Linked DNA regions of Oryzias latipes. The protein of the gene in region 3 purifies or fractionates together with the protein of the main gene of each other region. This does not show direct contact. Links are inferred from orthologs where the notes say so. Each region holds a gene or a part of one and is shown on either strand. Other genes may lie near its edges.

Region 1 (5,782 bases), on a different chromosome or scaffold from region 3:
TGATTTCTGAAAAACCTGCTGGATAACGGCCCTTAAGGCCTGCAGTCTGACTCCAATCAGGAGTGAGCTTGTTGGAAGGCCACGCCCCCACCCATGAAAGCAGGCTTCTTTGGTTTGTGGTTTTGGGATCCCATTTGAAAGATCCTGGTCCATCCTCCATAACATGTAGAAATTCTGGTGACACTTTTCTTTTAGTGAGAAAATAACGACACATTTCTGCTATCTGGTACACATGTATTACATTTATAGGCTTTTTCTACAGAGGAGGATTTCTCTCTTTGGTGTTGAAATTTGCTGATTCAGACTGCGGCTGCTGGTTGCATGATGCTGGAGGATGGTCTCTAACCTCATTCCACATCAGACGGGGGGGGGGGGGGGGGGGGGCATTGTTACTGCACTCGTCCCCTTCCTGGGAAATCATGGCTAATGCTCGCGTAAACAAGAATAAATGCCTCATCTGCAATACTTAAACATTTTTCTTATTTTCTATTCAACGGTTGCCATGGCGTCCAAATACACAATCTGAAACATCTGGGGGGGGGTTTCCCCCTCGTGTTGTGGACCTGGAGCCGTTTCCTGGATCCGAAGTGACTTCAGAACCGTCGCTCACTCAGTCACAGGTTTCGGTTGGTGTGACATTGATCACTCTGGATGAACGTCAGCGATGAAATTCTTTTGTTCTGCTACCTTTGCTAATAAAGGTTTGTTTGAAATTCTCTACTACATTTGAGTGGGAAGCTCGTGTTGCACCTTTTTTCAGAAGTTTCCCCACATTTGGTTGATTAGGGTTTTGTAAGTTGTCGCCAGAGCAACAGAAACATTAGCTAAAGATGAGTCATTTTGCAGCAGTTGTTTAACTTTCCATTTCACGCTCGCTTTGTCCACCCAACGCTTGTTGCCCCCATGCTGCCGTTGGTTCTTGTGGGCGTGGCAGACATCAGCTGTGAACCATGAGATTCTTTTTAGAGGTTCATTGGTCGCTGGGGAGGGCTGTGGGGCTCCCCCCCGCCTGGATAACCACCGCAGCTCAGACGCTCCCTTCTGTTCTTTCTCTGCAGAGAATTCCAGCTGACCAAAGAAATGGTGATGGAGAAGCCAAGTGCCCAGCTGGTCGGGCGAGAGTTTGTCCGACAGTATTACACGCTCCTGAACCAGGCCCCTGACTACCTGCACAGGTGACGCCCCCGCCCGCGGTTTGACCACCAAGGCTTGTAGATGTGTTCGGGTGTCCTGACCGTCTGGCGCTTTCCCTCCGCCTTCAGGTTTTACGGGAAGAACTCGTCGTACGTGCATGGCGGTGTGGACGGCAATGGCAAACCGCTGGAGCCGGTTTATGGACAGTCGGTAAGACCGTTGAGGCATAGATCCCGTCTGTCTTTCATTCGCTTTCCTAAAATGGCTCATAAATGTCGCATTTTGCTCCAACTCCTGCAGGAGATCCACAAGAGGGTGATGGCGCTGAGTTTCCGGGACTGTCACACCAAAATACGGCACGTGGATGCGCACGCCACCCTGAACGAAGGGGTGGTGGTGCAGGTGATGGGGGAGCTCTCCAACAACCTGCAGCCCATGAGGAAGTTCATGCAGACCTTCGTACTGGCACCGGAGGTCGGTGCCACGGCAAAACTCGCGGCAGCATGTGTGTCCGTTCCCCAGCATTCACTCCCTCTGTGCTCCCACAGGGCACGGTCCCCAACAAGTTCTACGTCCACAACGACGTGTTCAGGTACCAGGACGAGGTGTTTGCCGACTCGGACTCCGAGGTTCCTGAAGGTCAGACGGCTTCTCTTATGTAGATCTGAGGATTTCTAATTTCAGTCAGGAAGTCTGAACGTTTCACACCACTGTCCTTACAGAGTCAGAAGATGAGGATCTGGAGAGGGCCCCCTCCCCCGATACCACAGAGGAGCCCGCCCCTTTCTACGACCCCACGGCCTGGTGCGTCGAAGCTTCGGGGTTTCCACCTGAAGTGGAACTCTAAGTCGGGTTTTCAAAGTGAGCGTTTCCCTTTCCTCTTGGCAGTTCTGAGCCCACCGCCCCCGGTGACGATGAGGAGGTGGGGGCCAGTCCAGAGCCGGAGGTGGAGAAGGACCTGGAGGCTCCTGAGGCGGAGACGGCCCACGACAGCCGGACAGAAACGCACTCTGACGACGAGCAGACGGAGAAGAGGCCGTCCACCCCCGCAGCGCCCACCACAGAACCGGTTTCGGCGCCGGCCGAGCCCGCTCCGAGCGCCCCGGAAGAAAACAGAGTACGTCTAAGAAAGCTGAACAGACGGAACGCGACCAGACCGCCACTCTAACGCCTTTCTCTGCTCGCCCACAGCCGTTCTCCTGGGCGTCTGTTACCAGTAAGAACCTCCCTCCCAGCGGCGCCATCGCCGTGTCCGGAATCAGCCCACATGTTGTCAAAGTGGCCCCCGCGGCTCCGGTAAGTCTGAGGTACTCCAGCAAAGTCCTGACGTAGAAAATGAAAACTAGATTCAGACCTCTGTTTGTAGGTGAGAACAGAAGTGAAGCCAGAGTCTCAGACGACGCAGAGACCACAGAGGGAGCAGAGGCCGCGAGAGCAGAGGCCCGGGGGCCCTCCCCCCACACACAGGGGGCCGCGACCAGGTACACGACCAGGCGTTCTGATTGGCTCACGATTAAACCCAGAGTGATCTGGATCAGAAGTGTCTGTTTGGAGTTATTCAGGTTCTCGTTGATCTGAGTTCTTCAAAAGTTCCTGTTTGTCAGAGACGGCACTCTAAAACCGATGGCGTTTTAGATTTGGTGGTTTCTCTGTTTCAGCTCGAGAAGGCGAACAGGGCGAGCCGGAGGGTCGCAGGATCGTCCGCTATCCTGACGCGCACCAGCTCTTCGTTGGAAACGTTCCCCATGACGTGGACAAAAACGAACTGAAGGAGTTCTTTGAGCGTGAGTAGGCGGAGCCTCTTCCACGTGAAAGCTGAAACCCCGTTTGACTGACGGATTCTGCTCCTGCAGAGTACGGGGCGGTTCTGGAGCTGAGGATCAACAGCGGAGGGAAGCTACCCAATTTTGGCTTCGTGGTGTTTGATGACTCTGAACCGGTTCAGAAGATCCTCAACAACAAGGTGAGTCCGAGTCCATCCGGCCCGGCGGTCGGGTTGTATCCAAACCAGAAGAACCGGTTCTGAGAAGTTCTGTTCTTTCAGCCCATCAAGTTCCGAGGAGACATCCGCCTGAACGTGGAGGAAAAGAAGACTCGCTCCGCCAGGGAGGGCGACCGGCGGGACTCCAGGCCCCGGGGCCCAGGCGGTCCCAGAGAGCGAGTTGGGGGCGGACCCAGAGGACCGCCCACTCGTGGGGGAATGTCCCAGAAGCCCAGCTTTGGCTCTGGGCGGGGGGCGGGCCCCAGCGAGAGCCGCTTCTCGGCTCCCCGTCAGTGAGCTTCAGTTTTCCGGCTGCAGACCTAACAGAAGCTGCAGCCGCATTTTTAACCATCCACTCACTCTGGCTCCCGCTGAACCCCCCCCGGCCCCCCGTGACATTTCTGGAAGGAGTGTTCAAAGGCTGCAGGAGTTGTTTGGGGGGTCTGCAGTGACCCCACCCCCTCCCATCCTATTGGTTCCTGCACTCAGACGGCGGTGCGTTCAGGAACCGGTTCTTTTCTCTTCAGTTTGACTTTACTTTTGGCGTTGAACTTGAATCTCACAAATGAAAAACCAACAAAAAGGCGTAAATATTACTTGAATTGGGGATGTAGAGACCCAGAGGCTTATTTTATTTTCCGAGTTCTCTCCCTGTTTCTTAAAGGAACGTGTACTTTTACTGCTTTGGGCAATCCTGTGTATTGCTGCCACCGTTGTTTCGAGCGATGGCCCCGCCCATCGTTTTTATCAGGTCACGAGCTGAACTGTAGTTTTCTTTGATGTCGATGTTGTAATCTACACAAACGTGTCTGAATGGATCAAACCTGTTCGCCTTTTTTTTACCAATGCACTTCATTTGTCATCATGTTTAAGCTCATGCCGACGAGAGAACTAAATTAAACCATTTACTGTTTTCACACCGACTGCTTCCTGTTTGGGGGACTGGGGTTCCGCGGGGTGGGGGTGGGGGCACCCTGGGGTTCTGGACCGTCAGTAGGGCTTTTATTCTGGTCTGAAGGTCCAGATGAATCTTTCTTACGGCACCGTTGAGCCTGAATTTGACCCCATCACCAACATTTACACCCACAAAAAGGAACTTTGTGGCCAAAAAAGATCCACTGACAAAACAAAGAATGGGGCGGGGACATCTGGAAAGAGTTCTGAAATGATGGGATTGCTCTAAGAAAATTTTAATCAGACAAAAAAATCAGTGATGAAAGTCTTCCGGGAATTCCCGGAAATCCGGGTTTTTGAGCAAACCGAACGTACTTTCCGGCAAATAAAGACCTGATCTCTACGGACAAATCGCTTTCCGGATTAAAAAATGGTCTGAAATCAGCTTGAATTTAGACGAAGGATTAATATTGCATTTCCAAAAATCTTCAAATACTGAAGAGCAGCAGAAAAAAAACGCAGATTCAAAAAGATATTTGATGTAGAAAATACTCTGGGTGGGGCTACACTATCCCAGCTCCACCCCTTTCTGATCATCCACCAGTCAAACAGATCCATGAACATCTTTGTTTTCCTGGTCTGAGCTGGAATCTGGATCAGACGATCAGAGCTGGAACTTTAAAATATTCATGGAATGAGGGCGGAGTCATGAGGGAGGGTGGGTTCACAACCACAAACATCTAAGAAACCATTAAAGAACAATTCTCTCCATGGCTTTCTGTTGTCCATGTTACACACCTTTTCACCACACAGCAACGTGACTGTCTCCCACTAGCCCTTGTGCTATCTTAGATGACCCCCCCTCCCATTGACATGTTCTCCCTACCATGACAAAGGTGGATAAAGGTGGAAAGATTTCATGTAATCCATGGACACCAGTGAAGATCACAAATCATTGAAGAAAAAAGGTTCAGAGCACTGTCTAGTGGGTCTAGATGACCCAACTCCCAATGTTAAAGTGCCTAGGATAACACAAGGGTTATAGAGAGACATAGTCACGTTGCTGTGTCGTGGACAGGTGTGTAATATGGACAACGGAACGCCAAGGAGAGAATTGTTCCAGGACGTTAGAAACACAATTATAGACAAACATGGTAAAGGTAAAGGCTATAAAACCATCTCTAAGCAGCTTGAAGTTCCTGTGACTACAGTGGCACATATTCAGAAGTTTAAGACCCACGGGACAGTAGCCAACCTCCCTAGACGAAGAGGAAGAGGAACATTGATGACAAATTGAGGAGACGGATAGTTGGAACTGTATCCAAAGAGCCCAGAACAACCTCCAAAGACATTAAAGGTGAACTCCTAGATCAAGGTACATCAGTGTCAGATCACACCATTCGTGGTTGTTTGAGCCAGAGTGGACTTCATGGGAGACGACCAAGGAGGACACCACTGTTGAAAGGAAATCAGAAAAAAGCCAGACTGGAATTTACAAAAATGCATGTTGACAAGCCACAAAGCTTCTGGGAAAACGATGAGACCAAACTGGAGCTTTTTGGTAAGAAACATCAGCTCTATGTTGGTAGACTCAAAAATGAAGCATCCAACCAAAAGAACACTGTCCCTACTGTGAAACATGGAGGAGGCTCAGTTCTGTTTTGGGGCTGCTTTGCTGCATCTGCCACAGGGTGTCTTGAAGTTGTGAAGGTCAAATGAAATCTCTAGATTATCAAGGCATTCTGAGTAGAAATGTGCTGCCTAGTGTCAGAA
Region 2 (6,309 bases), on a different chromosome or scaffold from region 3:
TGAAATGGTCACAGAGTTCCTCGCTCACCTGAGCTCTTCTCCAGGATCCTTTGACTCAGATATCGAGTACATAACTGGAGTGTTCAACTCCTGTGTTACCACTGAGGAGCTGCTGCAGGATCTGGTGGAGCTGGTTTACACACAGGTGGGAAACATTCTGGCCTCGATCTGTCTTGTTTTTTTGTTTTTTTTCCCCATCTCTCCAATTTTTAAACGAACCTCACACACGTCATTATCACGAGGACAATGCAGTCTTGTCTGAGCGTATTTTGTTTATTTCAGTCTACTGCCATTCCAAACTTCTCCTATACTGGAGCCAGGCTCTGTAACTACTTGTCCCATCACCTGGCGATCAGCCCACAGAGCGGCAACTTTCGTCAGCTGCTCCTAAAACGGTAAGATGTGTGTGTCACATACGTCTCAAAGAGCAGTTTAAAAACAACCTCTACAACAGATACAATTGAGAATTTTATTTTATTTTAGAATTTTTAACGAAAATGCTAAACTATAAGGCTTAACTTAAAATCGATGACATCATGATTCCATTAAAATAGATTTTCTGTCATTCATTCAGTCATCGTCTAAACCCGTTTTGTTCCCATTCGGGGTCACGGGAATTTTCTTTCTCTTTCTCTTTTCACTAAGAATATAATTGAATCCAAACTGTTTTGATTTAGGTGCAGGACAGAATATGAACAAAGAGATGCAGCTGTCCGAGGGGACCCGGACACTCAGAAGAAATTTCACTCCTTTGTGCTTTTTCTGGGTGAACTCTACTTAAATCTAGAGGTAAGGAGGTTAACTCGGTGCATTCTGGAAGAAAATGATTCAGTGTGGATTCACTGGTTAACAATCCTATACAACTTATGACGCAACAAATTTGATCAAACTTTTATCATGTTTAAACCAGTTGTTTGTTTATAAATAAACAGATTTACATATCAAAACCATTTCTATAACAAATAAACAAGAAATACTTTTTGTTTTTCTTTGTTTTGCTTGATAGAAATACAACAAATAATAGAAGAAAATTGAATTGGAGATTTGATGAATCTATATCACATTTACTAACTGAAGATTGTTTTTTTCTACAATTAGTCAACTTTTTTTCTCTCTAATCCTGCCCTTATGTGATTTGCAAACACTTGAACACTCCTTTTAAAGTGAAATCGTTCCCTTTTTACTGTCATTTAGGTTCTGTTTTTTTTATTTTTTGTCTAGATAAAAAATCCAAAAGGACCTCCTAGAAGAGCTGAAATCCTGCTCTCTGGCCTCAATGACCTGCTGCACAGTCTGTTCTCCAATCCTGTGAATTCAAATCTCATCTGTGCTGTCAAACTGCTCAAGGTCTTAACATTTGTGTTTGTGCATTTTGTGAAGGTATTTTTATCATCATGAAGTAAACATCAGTGTTTTTATTTACAGCTGACCGGTTCTGTCTTGGATGATGCCTGGAAGGAAAGTGGAAAACCGCACATGGAAGAACTGATCCAAAGAATAGAAACAATTCTTCTTGATGCTAAATGTGACAGGTCTGTAGAGCAGGAGGCTTTTTTTTGTATTTTTTTTTTTATTAAAACGTTTAGATAAGTGTATCCCTATATTACGTTGAAACAGTGTTCTTTATCTAAGTGTCACAGAAAGTCTATTTAAATTGAAGCATTATTTTAACTCCTTACGTAGTTCCGTATTTTTCCAAAGAACATGTCGTTGTTGTAAATTAGACATTGTTCTCAATCAACCCACCTGGATAAATAAAGGTTTAACAGGAAAAAAAGTACTAGAGTTTTGTTTTGTACTTTAAATGGCTTCATAAAGAATCTGTTGATTTAATGACACGTTGAAAGGATTCTCGGTTTGAAGAGTTTCTTTCTCCTCAGGAATGTGAGAGAGATGCTCCTGAAGCTTGTAGAGCTTAGATCCAGTAACTGGGGGCGTGTCCACGCTGCTGCTGCAGCCAGTAACGCCACGCCAGACAACGACCCCAACTATTTCATGGTCCGTGTCTCACCCACCCTACCTACTCACCTTAGTTTGGTTTTTGACTTTGTGTTCATGAATGTGAACGTCTGTTATAACACGGCCTTTTGTTTTTCTGCTCAGAATGAACCCACATTCTACACAGAGGATGGGACGCCTTTCACAGCCGCAGATCCAGGTGAGTCCAGGTGGACATGTCCCCACTGAGACAGGAGACACAAAATGGAAACCTGACATTTCAACGCAGAAGAAACTAGATTCATAGATTTTTAACTAAATGTAGTTGTGTGATCCATTTTGTTTTTAATGGACAGATGACCATAAATAATGTTAGATTTAAACTGGTGGTGGTTGTACTTTATATGTTCCTGTTTTTTTCAACAGTTAGCAAAGTTTATCATCCACGGGTTGGGAAATAAGAAATTAATGTTTCTGCGTATATTTTATTATGGAGTGAAAGTTTGGTTCAGTTCTTATTTGGATCAGTTACATTTTTTTGGGCTGCCAAATTTCACTATGAAACCAAGATATTGAAGATTAAACAAGAAAAGCTTTTACTCAAAGCCTGTAGTGACCTGGACTTTTATATCTGACCTTTTTCTTTTGGGGGTGTCAGAATGATGAAGCTCTGTCACCAAACTTTCTGCCATCGAGCTGCAGGGTGTCTTTAAATCATGAATGTCTGTGTCTGTGCAAGTGTCGGGTACTGATGTGCCCTTACCAAACATCAGGAGGGATTTTGGATTTCAGCTGCTCGGTATAGGTAGATTTTGATAGGAATTATGGGTAACGGAGTATTTGTTTTGGGTTTAATCGTCATTGTCTTGAGACATTTTTAGCTTTTGAGGTTGAACATTACAAATGTAGGCGAGAAAAACAAAAGCCATGTTTCTTTTTTTTTTTTACCCAAGATGCCTTTGGCCTGGCCCTTCTCATATTTTTGTAGTTTGTTTCTGTTTAGTTTTGGGGTTGCATGTAAAGTTTGCTGCTGACTCTTTCTCTGCCTTCATAGAATATGCAGAAAAATACCAGGAGCTCCTCGAGAGGCAAGACTATTTTCACGACTTTGATGGGGAGAATGGAAACGAAGGGTAAGTCCAAGCTTTAAATGGAAAAAAAGGAAATGAAATCTGCACTATTCTGTTTGCAGAGACCCACTTTAGATGAATACATGCAGGTTCATCCTACTTTCCTTTCTGAATTAAAACCATCGTCTCAGGTTTTGTTGGCAAACAGAGACAAATGTGAGCTCAGAATTGATCAATATTTCATTTTTAAAGCAAACCTATTTATTCGTTTGACCCGAGTAAATTCATCATTTGAAAATTTCAGGCTTTTAATGAAGGTTTGTTGGAGGCCGTGACCTGAGATTTCCTCCCGTCAGTCTCGACCATGCCCGTTTTATGGCGTGGTGAAAGTCAGACAGTCACATGACAGCCCTCGCTCGACCTGTGAGCCTTTGGACTTGGCAAATGTGTTGCCACCCCACAATGCAACAGGGCTCACATTCAGATTAGTCAGCAGTTGGCTGTGTATGAGGGCTTAACTTGGGGTTGCAGGCTTTCAGTCTGCAATCCCAACCCACTCATTTAAAGAGTGTTATTCCAAAAGCAGTGAAGGAAAACATCAGAGTTTGCAACGATCTCCTGGTTTTTGTGTCCACAGAGATGACTTTGAAGATGAGATGGGCCCAGAGATGGAAGAAGCTTTTGAGAGTTTCTGTTTAGAATCGGAGCGGAAACGACAGCAACGCTTGTGAGACTGTCCGGCTGCTGGCTGGAACCCCCCCACTCATCTTCTCGGCATGTCGAAAAGCAAGCATTGCATCAGACGGGCTCTTATTTTACCGGAAACAACTCTTAAAGAAATGTTTATAGTTGCACTTCTGTCACTTTCTTCAGTTAGAGTTCATTAGAAAGTGGGACAATCAGTTGGACGGCTTCCTCTTGTTCCATCCTGACAGTTTTCTCTTTGTTGCTTTGAGTTTCGTTTCTAACTATTAGGCCTAATCAGAAAGCATGGAGGACATGATGTGCAGTGGATTTCAGTTATTCCTCTGAAAGGCTTTCTAGTTGAGTTAAACATGTCATTACTCAGGCTCAAACCATATTTCTAAAGCTATTTTCATAGATTTTGTTCTCCCCATATTCATTACACTAGCCTTTACAACAAGAACAAAAAGCTAAATATTTCTGCTAAAAGTTGTGCAGTTGGAGATGTTTTGTCAAATATTTGAATTTTTATTCTGAAGTAGAAAGTTAAAACTTTTCAATTCTTTTTTTTTGTTATCTCTTCTTTAGGTAAAACATTTTAATTGATTTCTACAATTAATGACCAGTTCCAAACTGAAAAGTTAATATTTTTAAAAGCAGTATTTCTTTCTTCTTCAACATCTCCAATAAACTAACTCCTTCCAACTTGAAGGCGAGGTTTAGGACTCCGCAGCGCTTTCATCGTTCTTCTCCAAGACTCAGACTGTTCACCGGCAAACAAAGGATCTGAAATCAGCAAATGTTGTTTTATAGTTTGTACATATTATTTATAGCATCATTTGCCTGCAATAAATTCTTAATGTGATATCTTTCTTGTTTTTTTTTTTCTGTGTGTGGGCTTTAATAAAAAAAATCCAAATAAAGTACTTTTGGTTAAAATCAAGAAATGTTTGTTGTGATAAAAAAATAAAGTATAGTTAATATAGTTCATCCTCCTCAGTGCGCTCACTCTATTTTTGGCCCAAGTATTCATCAAAGCTTTTAATAGTAAATCGATCAGAATCAGAAATACATTATTGATCACATATGTGGGAAATTTGTTTACCGTAGCAGTAAAAGAAGATAAATAGACATCAGAGAAAATGGAATATAGAAAACGGCTCGTGTGAGAGAGAAAAAAGACAAGAAAATGGGAAAGTTTGATTCTGAAATGCATCAATTCAGTCTGGCTGCTTGTGTGTCAGTAGTTTTTTGTCTCTAATCCCTTCATTTTTAATAGAATCTAATCCTAAGACTTTTTACCGATGATTCAAAAAAGATGGAAGCTGCTCAGACGATGTGGATGCAGAGCGGCTGCAGCTTCTGGGTTGAGCAAACATCCACCCATCGGTTGGTTGAGGGTTCGGAGTCGCTTTGGATGAAATTGTTTGCTAGACAGCTGCATGTAGACTGACTAAACAGAACGATAGTCTTGTACAAGGATGGAAAACATTTATCTCTGTCCTGCCACAAGGTGGTGATCAACATCTGAATGTCTACTGTTTCTGATGAATTTTCTGCCAGAGGCAGGACAGAAAACCAAGATGATGGTACAAGAAGAGACAAAAGAAAATCTGTAATTTCCTTTTTATTTGGTTACTAAGAAGCACAAAAGGGGAATAAATAATCTTATATTTTCTTATTTTACATTACATAACAGCAAAGTGCAAATCTTTAACAATCTTACAATTTACATTTTTTCCTGTGCCAAATTTTGGCTCTGTGTGGCACTTGAACACATTTTTCCACCACACACTAGATGCAGTATTTTTTTTTTTTTAACTTGTCCTGTCCAACAGCTAGGCAAACAGATGAGAGCTGAGGGCCTCTTGTGTTGGACATATTTTATTTTAACAAGAGGGGTTATTCATCTTCAGACAAACCAAAGGTATGTCTGAATAAACCCCTTTTGTAATTGAGGCCAAACTTTATTAATTTCAATCATGTTTGAAAATCTTTGGTGTTGGACCGGACGGAAAAGGAAAGAGGGGAAGAAGAGAGAGGGACGTTAGAGAGAGGGGGGGGTAAGAGGGTGATAATAGGAGGGGAAGGGGGGTAAGACCATGAAGCAGCATAGAGCAGACAGGTTTACTGGTTGTTTATCGTTACGGTACGGTTCAAATGTAGTACAAAAAGGGCGGGGCCTGTTCACACACACTCAAATATTATCAACACACCTGCTAGCCGCAAAAATGTCCACATGTCAACATGCACACAAAACAGATAGTGTTCACGAACGCATACCTATGCCTTTAAACCAACTAGTGTGAAATCTTTCATTCATTCAATCATGCAAACTATTAGTGCAAAGGTGAGCTAACACCTGTGCTCAGGTGAGTGTTTATGTTCTTCTAAAATGGATGGTGGAATGTGAAAAGAAGGAGGAGGAGCGCCCAGCCACCCCCACACCCATACCCCCGCCGCAGCAGCAGCGGCAGCCGGAATTCCCCCAACGCCACACGGGAACAGGCAGGGAACAACCGCCCCCCGGGCGACCAAGACCGCCACCCAGGCCAGGGCCAGCAGGACCGCCGCGAGGCCCCCAGAGCCAGAGAGCAGGGAGGCGCAGAGGGAAAGA
Region 3 (6,703 bases):
TATCCTAAATGTTTTAGTATGCTTGCACACAATTCAGAATGTTAAAGTATTAAAGGGAATAACTTTAGATCCTGTTTTACACTTATTTTGAGGCTACAATCCTGGTACAGCAGTTTAATCATTACTTGTAGCAATCATACTTTCACTGACTCCCACCTTCCCTATACGCTCATTGAACTCTGTGGGTGCTTTCAAAAGGCAACTTAAAACTTTTTTTTGTTTTGGTGTACTTTTGATGCTGTATTGTGAAGCACTTTGACTGAGGTGCTGTTAAAATGAGCTTTACTTACTGGCACAAAGGTTCGATTAGCGGTTGGGTTTGTTTCAGACTGCATTTTGTGCTAGAAGCACTTAATTTGACATGGATCTATGGATCCTGTCTCAGAAAAACATGTTAGCCCAGAGGAAAAATCCAAACTGGTGGCCATCTGTAAAGAGAGCTGTTATAAACAATTTTTACTGTTTGCGCCAGTCTAACCATGGCCCGTTTATGCAGTCTTTGAACTTAAGGGCAGAATACCATCACCTTAAGGCCCAATTTAACTGCCACCCTTTTCTTTGTAAAATTTTAGATTTTTATCATGGCTACTTTTTCTGAAAGGGGGGGGGTCCTAAGGTACATCCATGTCAAATCTCATGCTTGTACCACAAAATGCTCATATTTAAATAACAGCTCCACTAGATCTGGAAGTTAAAAGTGAATGGGTAGGCCTATTTGAGTGAACAAAGAAGTTTCAGACTAGGAATTTGTTGCAGTAATGTGCCAAACACTTAAGAATAAAAAATAACACACTGGTAGTAAATACAAGCACAGTAGTGCAAAAGCAGGATGAAGAAGTTGCAGGTAATGGACTGGTAACTGGACTTAAGTTTAAGGGGGGAGGAATTAAAGTTTTGAGTAGGAAACTGTTCGTGAGGTTCTGGTGAGGTTAGCCTCCTGCCCAAAGGGAGTGGTTAAAGTAATTCCTGTTCAGGGTGAAAAGGATCGGCTGCTATCCGACCTGCACGCCCCCGGGTTCTGGAGACGTATAGGTCCTGGAGAGATGGAAGACTGCAGCCAATCACCTTCTCAGCTGAGCACACAATACCCTGCAGTCCATCTCCCTGGTTGTGGCTTCAGTGTACCACACAGTGATGGAGGTGGTGAGGATGGATTCTATGATGGCCGTGTAGAACTGCACCATCATCTGGGTCGGCACCCCGAATTTAACTGCTGCAGGAAGTACATCCTCTGCTGGGCCTTTTTGAGCAGGGAGTTGATGGACGGCTCCCACTTAAGGTCCTGAGTGATGGTGGTGCCGAGGAAACGAACAGAGTCCACTATATGGTGACAGGAGAGTCTGTCAGGGTGAGAGGGGGTGAGGAGGTTGTGACTTTCCTGAAGTCCACGATCATCTCCACTGTCTTCTGGGTGTTGAGCTCCAGGTTGTTGATGCTGCACCACGGCACCAGCCGGTCCACCTCCCTCCTGTAGGCAGACTCATCATCGTTAGAGATGAGCCCGATGAGGGTGGTGTCATCTGCAAACTTCATCAGTTTAACAGAGAAGATGGAGGTGCAGCAGTTGGTATACAGAGAGAAAAGCAGAGGAGAAAGTACACAGCCCTGTGCAGATAGTTTGGGTGGTGGAGACATTCTTTCACAGCCGCACTCACTGCCTCCAGTCCATTAGGAAGTCAGTGATCCACCTGCAGGTGGAGTCAGGCACGTTATGCTGGAGCTTTTCCTGAAGCAGAGAGGGGAGGATAGTGTTGAACGCAGAGCTGAAGTCCATGAACAGGACACAGTTGGGCAGGTAAATTATCATGTTAGTTGTGTTCATTTAATGAAACATTTGAGCACATTTTTTAATCTCATTTTCGCGTCAGTGCTTCCGTGAAGTTTGTTCATGTATGACATGCACAACTCAAAGAGCATTATCCTATACCAAGGTCATTTATGAAAAAAAAATTTTTGTAGAACTTGTCCCGTTATATTTTTTCCTCTCTGAGGAAAGTGATCATTGTGAGAAGTTAAACAAAGCATAATTTTGGAGGGAAAGTTCACCACTTGGCGCTTGTTTTTAACCAGATGATAAAGCAAAAGTTTGTTTCAAAGAAACAAAGTCCAAAATCAAAATAGTTCAGTTCGTCCGGTGTTACCTCAGTGTTTCATTTCCTCCTAGTGTTCTGTTCTCTATTTCTCTTCTACTGGATTCCAGTCTTCAAAATGATCCAATTCACCAAACAGAATATATAATCACTTGTGTCTTTTTTACCATCTTACTAGTGTATAAACTGTGGAATAATGTACGTCAAATATGGTATCAATGAAAAGTTTGTGTTCAATATTTTCTGGATTGCTCAGAAAAGTGTTCTTGTTTTTGATGTGTTAAATAGAGTCTTCTGGACATAATCATTTGTTTTTGTTTTCTTTATTTTTCAAGAAGAAAATTCCCTTTGTGTAAAAGTAAAGGTTGGAAATCTGCTTCAAAACTTTATAAAGTCACTTTTTTTGTTGTATTTTGATCTATTAATGCGATACAATCTCAGAAATTTAAATGAAAATACTCAATAATGAGGCTTTTCACAGCAATTAAAAGGATACGAATAATTGTGATTAAAAATAGATTAATTAGTTAATAGCGGGTTAATTAATTGCACAAAATAACAAATTGCATGACATCATTAAATACATTACAGGATTACTACAGGGTTAATTTTTCAAATATATGTACCATATGTGTGGAATGTGGACCCATACTTTAAGAGCTTTTATTCCCTTTTCCCAGATTTTTTCCCAAAAGGATTGACATTCCAAAAACAGACCTTATTTCCCTTTTTTGTTGAGTTTTTCCAGTGCTTTTTCTCCTTTGGAGCTGTGTCCTGCCCCTCAGTTATCATGCAGGTGTCGCTGTGGGGAGGGCAGCTCTGTGGTTGGGGCAGGACAGTGCGCTCTCTCTTTTACACGCCGCGTGCTCGCCCCCCGCCCCCCTCCGCCCCCTCTCCTAAATTTGACCCTGGTCACTGTTTCGTCCACGCCGCTACCCTCTATAAAGTGCCCACGCTTCCCCGACACACTCTCTTTCCCCGGCCACAAATCAACCGTGAGTGTTTAACTCACTGTTATCGGGAAAAAAAAAACTTAAAATAAAAACAATATAAAAACAATAAAAGCTATAAAACATTATAAAAACGAGTACAATAATATTGAAATTTAAACTTTTAAAAAAATAGCAAAATATTAATTAAAAATATAAACAAGAGGCCTCGGGGTTTAACCGAAGGAGGATTTTTTTTGGTACATTTTTTGGGTTTCTCACTCAGAGATCTGTCCGCACCGAGCGCGTCTTGACCCGCATTCAAACCGGATTGCAGTTTTTTTCGGCTTTGGCAGATTTTCTTTTCTTTTTGGAAGTTTGGGAAATGAACACAGCGACCGGGAGTTATCCGATGGCTTCTCTCTACGTTGGTGACCTGCACCCTGACATCACGGAGGCTATGCTGTATGAGAAATTCAGCCCCGCCGGACCGGTGCTCTCCATTCGGGTATGCAGAGACATGATCACCCGGCGGTCCCTCGGATACGCCTATGTCAACTTCTCCCAGCCCGCTGACGGTAAGGAACCCCTGGGGGGTGGGGGGGGGGGGGATGAGCTCACCCACGTGGGGATCATCATGACTAATGAAAATGAATTTTATAAAGCTTTGCGCTTCCATTGAATTCTGTCTTCTTTATTTGAGACAGTCATTCATTATACCTATTATATCCACTTCCCAGTTCTTCACACACCACCTATGCTATGGCGATGCAAAGTCTCTGCAGTTCAGTTCACTACATTTTATTGGTATTTTAAAGGAATTCATGCATTTGAAACCATTATGTGCTTTAAAGTCTGTGTTTGTAATTATTGATCAATTATATGGAAAGCCATTACTGCAGTAAATCATTGTTGAGAACACGCTGTTTTTAAAATCTCTGCTGCTGATCCCATGAGTCAAAATAACAAGTGATATAATTATGTTAAAAATGAACACCTTCAAGCTAATTGCATCAGTTTGGGCATTCATAGTCAACTAGGGACACACAAAGGTTACTACTAGGCCACAGTAGTCAACTAGTACAAGAAAAAATGACTACTAGTTCTGTAGTACCAATAAACTAGCGGTTGACTGATATGTCTTACCCAATAACTAGTATGTAATCAAAGTTGTATTATTACTTAATGCGTAACACCACAGTTTTTTCTTCTCTTTTTGGTAAATAGTTTGGCTTTTTTGTCTACTACTAGATGACTTGTCCAAAACTTGTTTAACTAGTTCACACATTTATTTTTTTAAACATTTTTCAGTAGTAAATATTTTGACTTTCCTTTTTTATCTAGTTAGATGTCATCCATTGCTAGGAATGCTAAAACCATCAAGAATTCCTATTTACATTGATCTGAGTTGATTTGTACTCCTATTTTTTTTGCTGTTTTAACTAAATGGCTGGATAGCTCAGTTGGTTGTGTATAGGACCAGCGCATGGGAGGTTAGGGTTTGTTTCTCACGTGCTTCATCCACTGTGGGTTCTTGGGAAAGACCTTTCGCACTACCATGTAGCCACAACAGGGTCCAAGTTTGGTTCCCCCTGTGCCAGTCTTCAGCCTGGATATAATACACGGTTGTGTGAAAAAGGGCATTCGGCATAAAATTCTCCGCCAAACCACCTGTGCGACTCGGTGAAAGGGGTATGTCAAAAGGTGGACAACATAACTATACAGTGACCTTGTGGGTGGACAGACAACTTATTTGTATCTATTGTTACCTAAACAGCTTTAACATATGCAACAGTTGGTGCAAAGCAAATTGCTTTTGTTTTTGTTGCTTTGTTGCCTTTGGAATAAATAGGGGCGCTCTTAGCAGCGGTAGCGTGTGTTGCATTGGTCTTTCTAAGGTCCTAGTTATACTGTCTACACACTGTGAATGTTTCTCCTGTTTTATCAACAAAAACACCTGTGAGAGCAGCTGTCTCTGATGAAGGCGGTTGACCAAATACCAAGTAATGGATTACAACACCATAACTGACAGGTGTGAAATGCCCCACTGTTTTGCTGTTGATGTGGACACGGTAGAAGGGTGTAAATGTGGGGCAAAGTTCAAAGTGTAGAGAAGGAATATTTTGAGCTTTTTCATTGTTTTGTTGAAATATTATGTTTTATCCTCATGTTGGAAGTCTTCCCCATCAATAGCAAAGAATGGTGTACCCATACTCCAGCACATACCTCTCAGGACCCTTTTCTAAATATAGAACCTCACTCTGAGCAGGCCAAAATATGCCTGCTCTGTGATACTACAAACACAAATGGCAACAATAACTAGTTATTCAACACCATTAACATTTTCACCCTTGGATATTTCTGAATGTGTTTTTTTTTTTTTAAACAGCAAGATTTTCATTTTGAACCTTTCAGAGGTTCATGTGTTGAACAACAATTACACAAATTTTCTGAGCACACGGGTGGTGAAGTACAACTGCAAGCCAAACTGCTGATGCCAGCAGACGCAAGGGAGCTCCGTTTTGTTTACCAGACACTTTTAGCTGGAAAGCCTAGCCTGTGAGTGTGTGTGTGTGTGTGTGGCTCGCTGTGGAGGGACTGAACAAAAGGATGTTTGGCACGTGGACCCAAAATGACATGGCTGTTTAACCAATAGTAAAACAAAGGTATAGATTTCATAATTTTGTGTCTTAACAGTGCAGAAAAACGCAGAGACTGTAAAATGATCATCAAATCTAAAATAAATAAATAAAAACTCTTTAAAACCTGTTGAAATGGATGTTTGCCTGTGGCATTGGTAGTTAAGGGGGCACAGCAGCATGGGGTTTGTCAGAAACATGTGCTATGATCTTTGCAGCTGCCCCTGACTCGTCTGAGTTGCTGGCAGACAGCTCAGCAGCCACATGGTCTTCTGCAGCGTCTTAACCCTGTTTCTTGTCTGCTTTTGTATTTATGTCTACAAGAGTACAAGCTGGTTTGAGACAAAGTGTTCTAATCATCCTCAAACAACCCAAATAAGCTTGGTACCTGTGAATTTTTTTCACAATTTTGGATCCATATAAACATGAACGTGTCTTCTTTCTTTCTGCCTACAGCTGAGAGAGCCTTGGACACCATGAACTTTGACGTGGTGAAAGGGAAACCAATCAGAATTATGTGGTCTCAAAGAGACCCCTCCCTCAGGAAGTCTGGTGTGGGCAATGTATTTATCAAGAACCTTGATAAGTCCATCGACAACAAAGCCCTGTACGACACTTTCTCTGCTTTTGGCAATATCCTATCCTGTAAGGTAAAGAATACTTTTTGCCCCTACTATAACATTATTTTAAAACCTGGCTGCAATGTGTTATGGTCTGTAACCCATTAAGAGCCCAAGAAACATGAAACCTTCATATTGACCACTCCACTATATTTTTTAAAGAAATCTTGTAGAGGTTTGTACTGTAATATAAATGGTGCCCTAATGTTTTTAAAGGCTGTCTTAAATACTAATGCTATAACATCTGCAGTATTTTAATAATATAATCAATTCATTGTGAACAGATTAATATTTATCCTTTTAGCTCCTTTCCAACCTATTTCTTTCAAACACAAGTGTTTGGATTAAACCCTTTCAGCATTTCAGCCAAGGCTTTCCTGATTGCTAATTTGGCAGCCTAACCCACTTTGAGCTGGCAGTCTGTA

The links.
Region 1: the proteins of pabpc4 (region 3) and g3bp1 purify together in Homo sapiens (affinity purification with mass spectrometry; 4 studies listed by BioGRID and IntAct, with this or other methods). This does not show direct contact. The link is inferred for Oryzias latipes from reciprocal best matches to the Homo sapiens genes PABPC4 and G3BP1.
Region 2: the proteins of pabpc4 (region 3) and paip1 purify together in Homo sapiens (co-immunoprecipitation; 3 studies listed by BioGRID and IntAct, with this or other methods). This does not show direct contact. The link is inferred for Oryzias latipes from reciprocal best matches to the Homo sapiens genes PABPC4 and PAIP1.

What each region holds. Positions count from the first base shown.
Region 1 is NC_019868.2:28,990,402-28,996,183, forward strand, and holds the end of g3bp1 (ras GTPase-activating protein-binding protein 1), read left to right. Parts: intron 1-1,058; 5' UTR 1,059-1,080; coding exon 1,081-1,175; intron 1,176-1,262; coding exon 1,263-1,344; intron 1,345-1,434; coding exon 1,435-1,608; intron 1,609-1,682; coding exon 1,683-1,773; intron 1,774-1,856; coding exon 1,857-1,938; intron 1,939-2,022; coding exon 2,023-2,251; intron 2,252-2,325; coding exon 2,326-2,430; intron 2,431-2,500; coding exon 2,501-2,615; intron 2,616-2,792; coding exon 2,793-2,918; intron 2,919-2,987; coding exon 2,988-3,097; intron 3,098-3,178; coding exon 3,179-3,412; 3' UTR 3,413-4,032; downstream 4,033-5,782. UniProt on the Homo sapiens protein: Protein involved in various processes, such as stress granule formation and innate immunity. Plays an essential role in stress granule formation.
Region 2 is NC_019867.2:5,797,224-5,803,532, reverse strand, and holds the end of paip1 (polyadenylate-binding protein-interacting protein 1), read left to right. Parts: coding exon 1-145; intron 146-282; coding exon 283-395; intron 396-677; coding exon 678-789; intron 790-1,221; coding exon 1,222-1,347; intron 1,348-1,425; coding exon 1,426-1,532; intron 1,533-1,880; coding exon 1,881-1,998; intron 1,999-2,103; coding exon 2,104-2,158; intron 2,159-2,992; coding exon 2,993-3,071; intron 3,072-3,645; coding exon 3,646-3,739; 3' UTR 3,740-4,559; downstream 4,560-6,309. UniProt on the Homo sapiens protein: Acts as a coactivator in the regulation of translation initiation of poly(A)-containing mRNAs. Its stimulatory activity on translation is mediated via its action on PABPC1. Competes with PAIP2 for binding to PABPC1.
Region 3 is NC_019880.2:16,808,206-16,814,908, reverse strand, and holds the start of pabpc4 (polyadenylate-binding protein 4), read left to right. Parts: upstream 1-3,051; 5' UTR 3,052-3,404; coding exon 3,405-3,597; intron 3,598-6,114; coding exon 6,115-6,308; intron 6,309-6,703.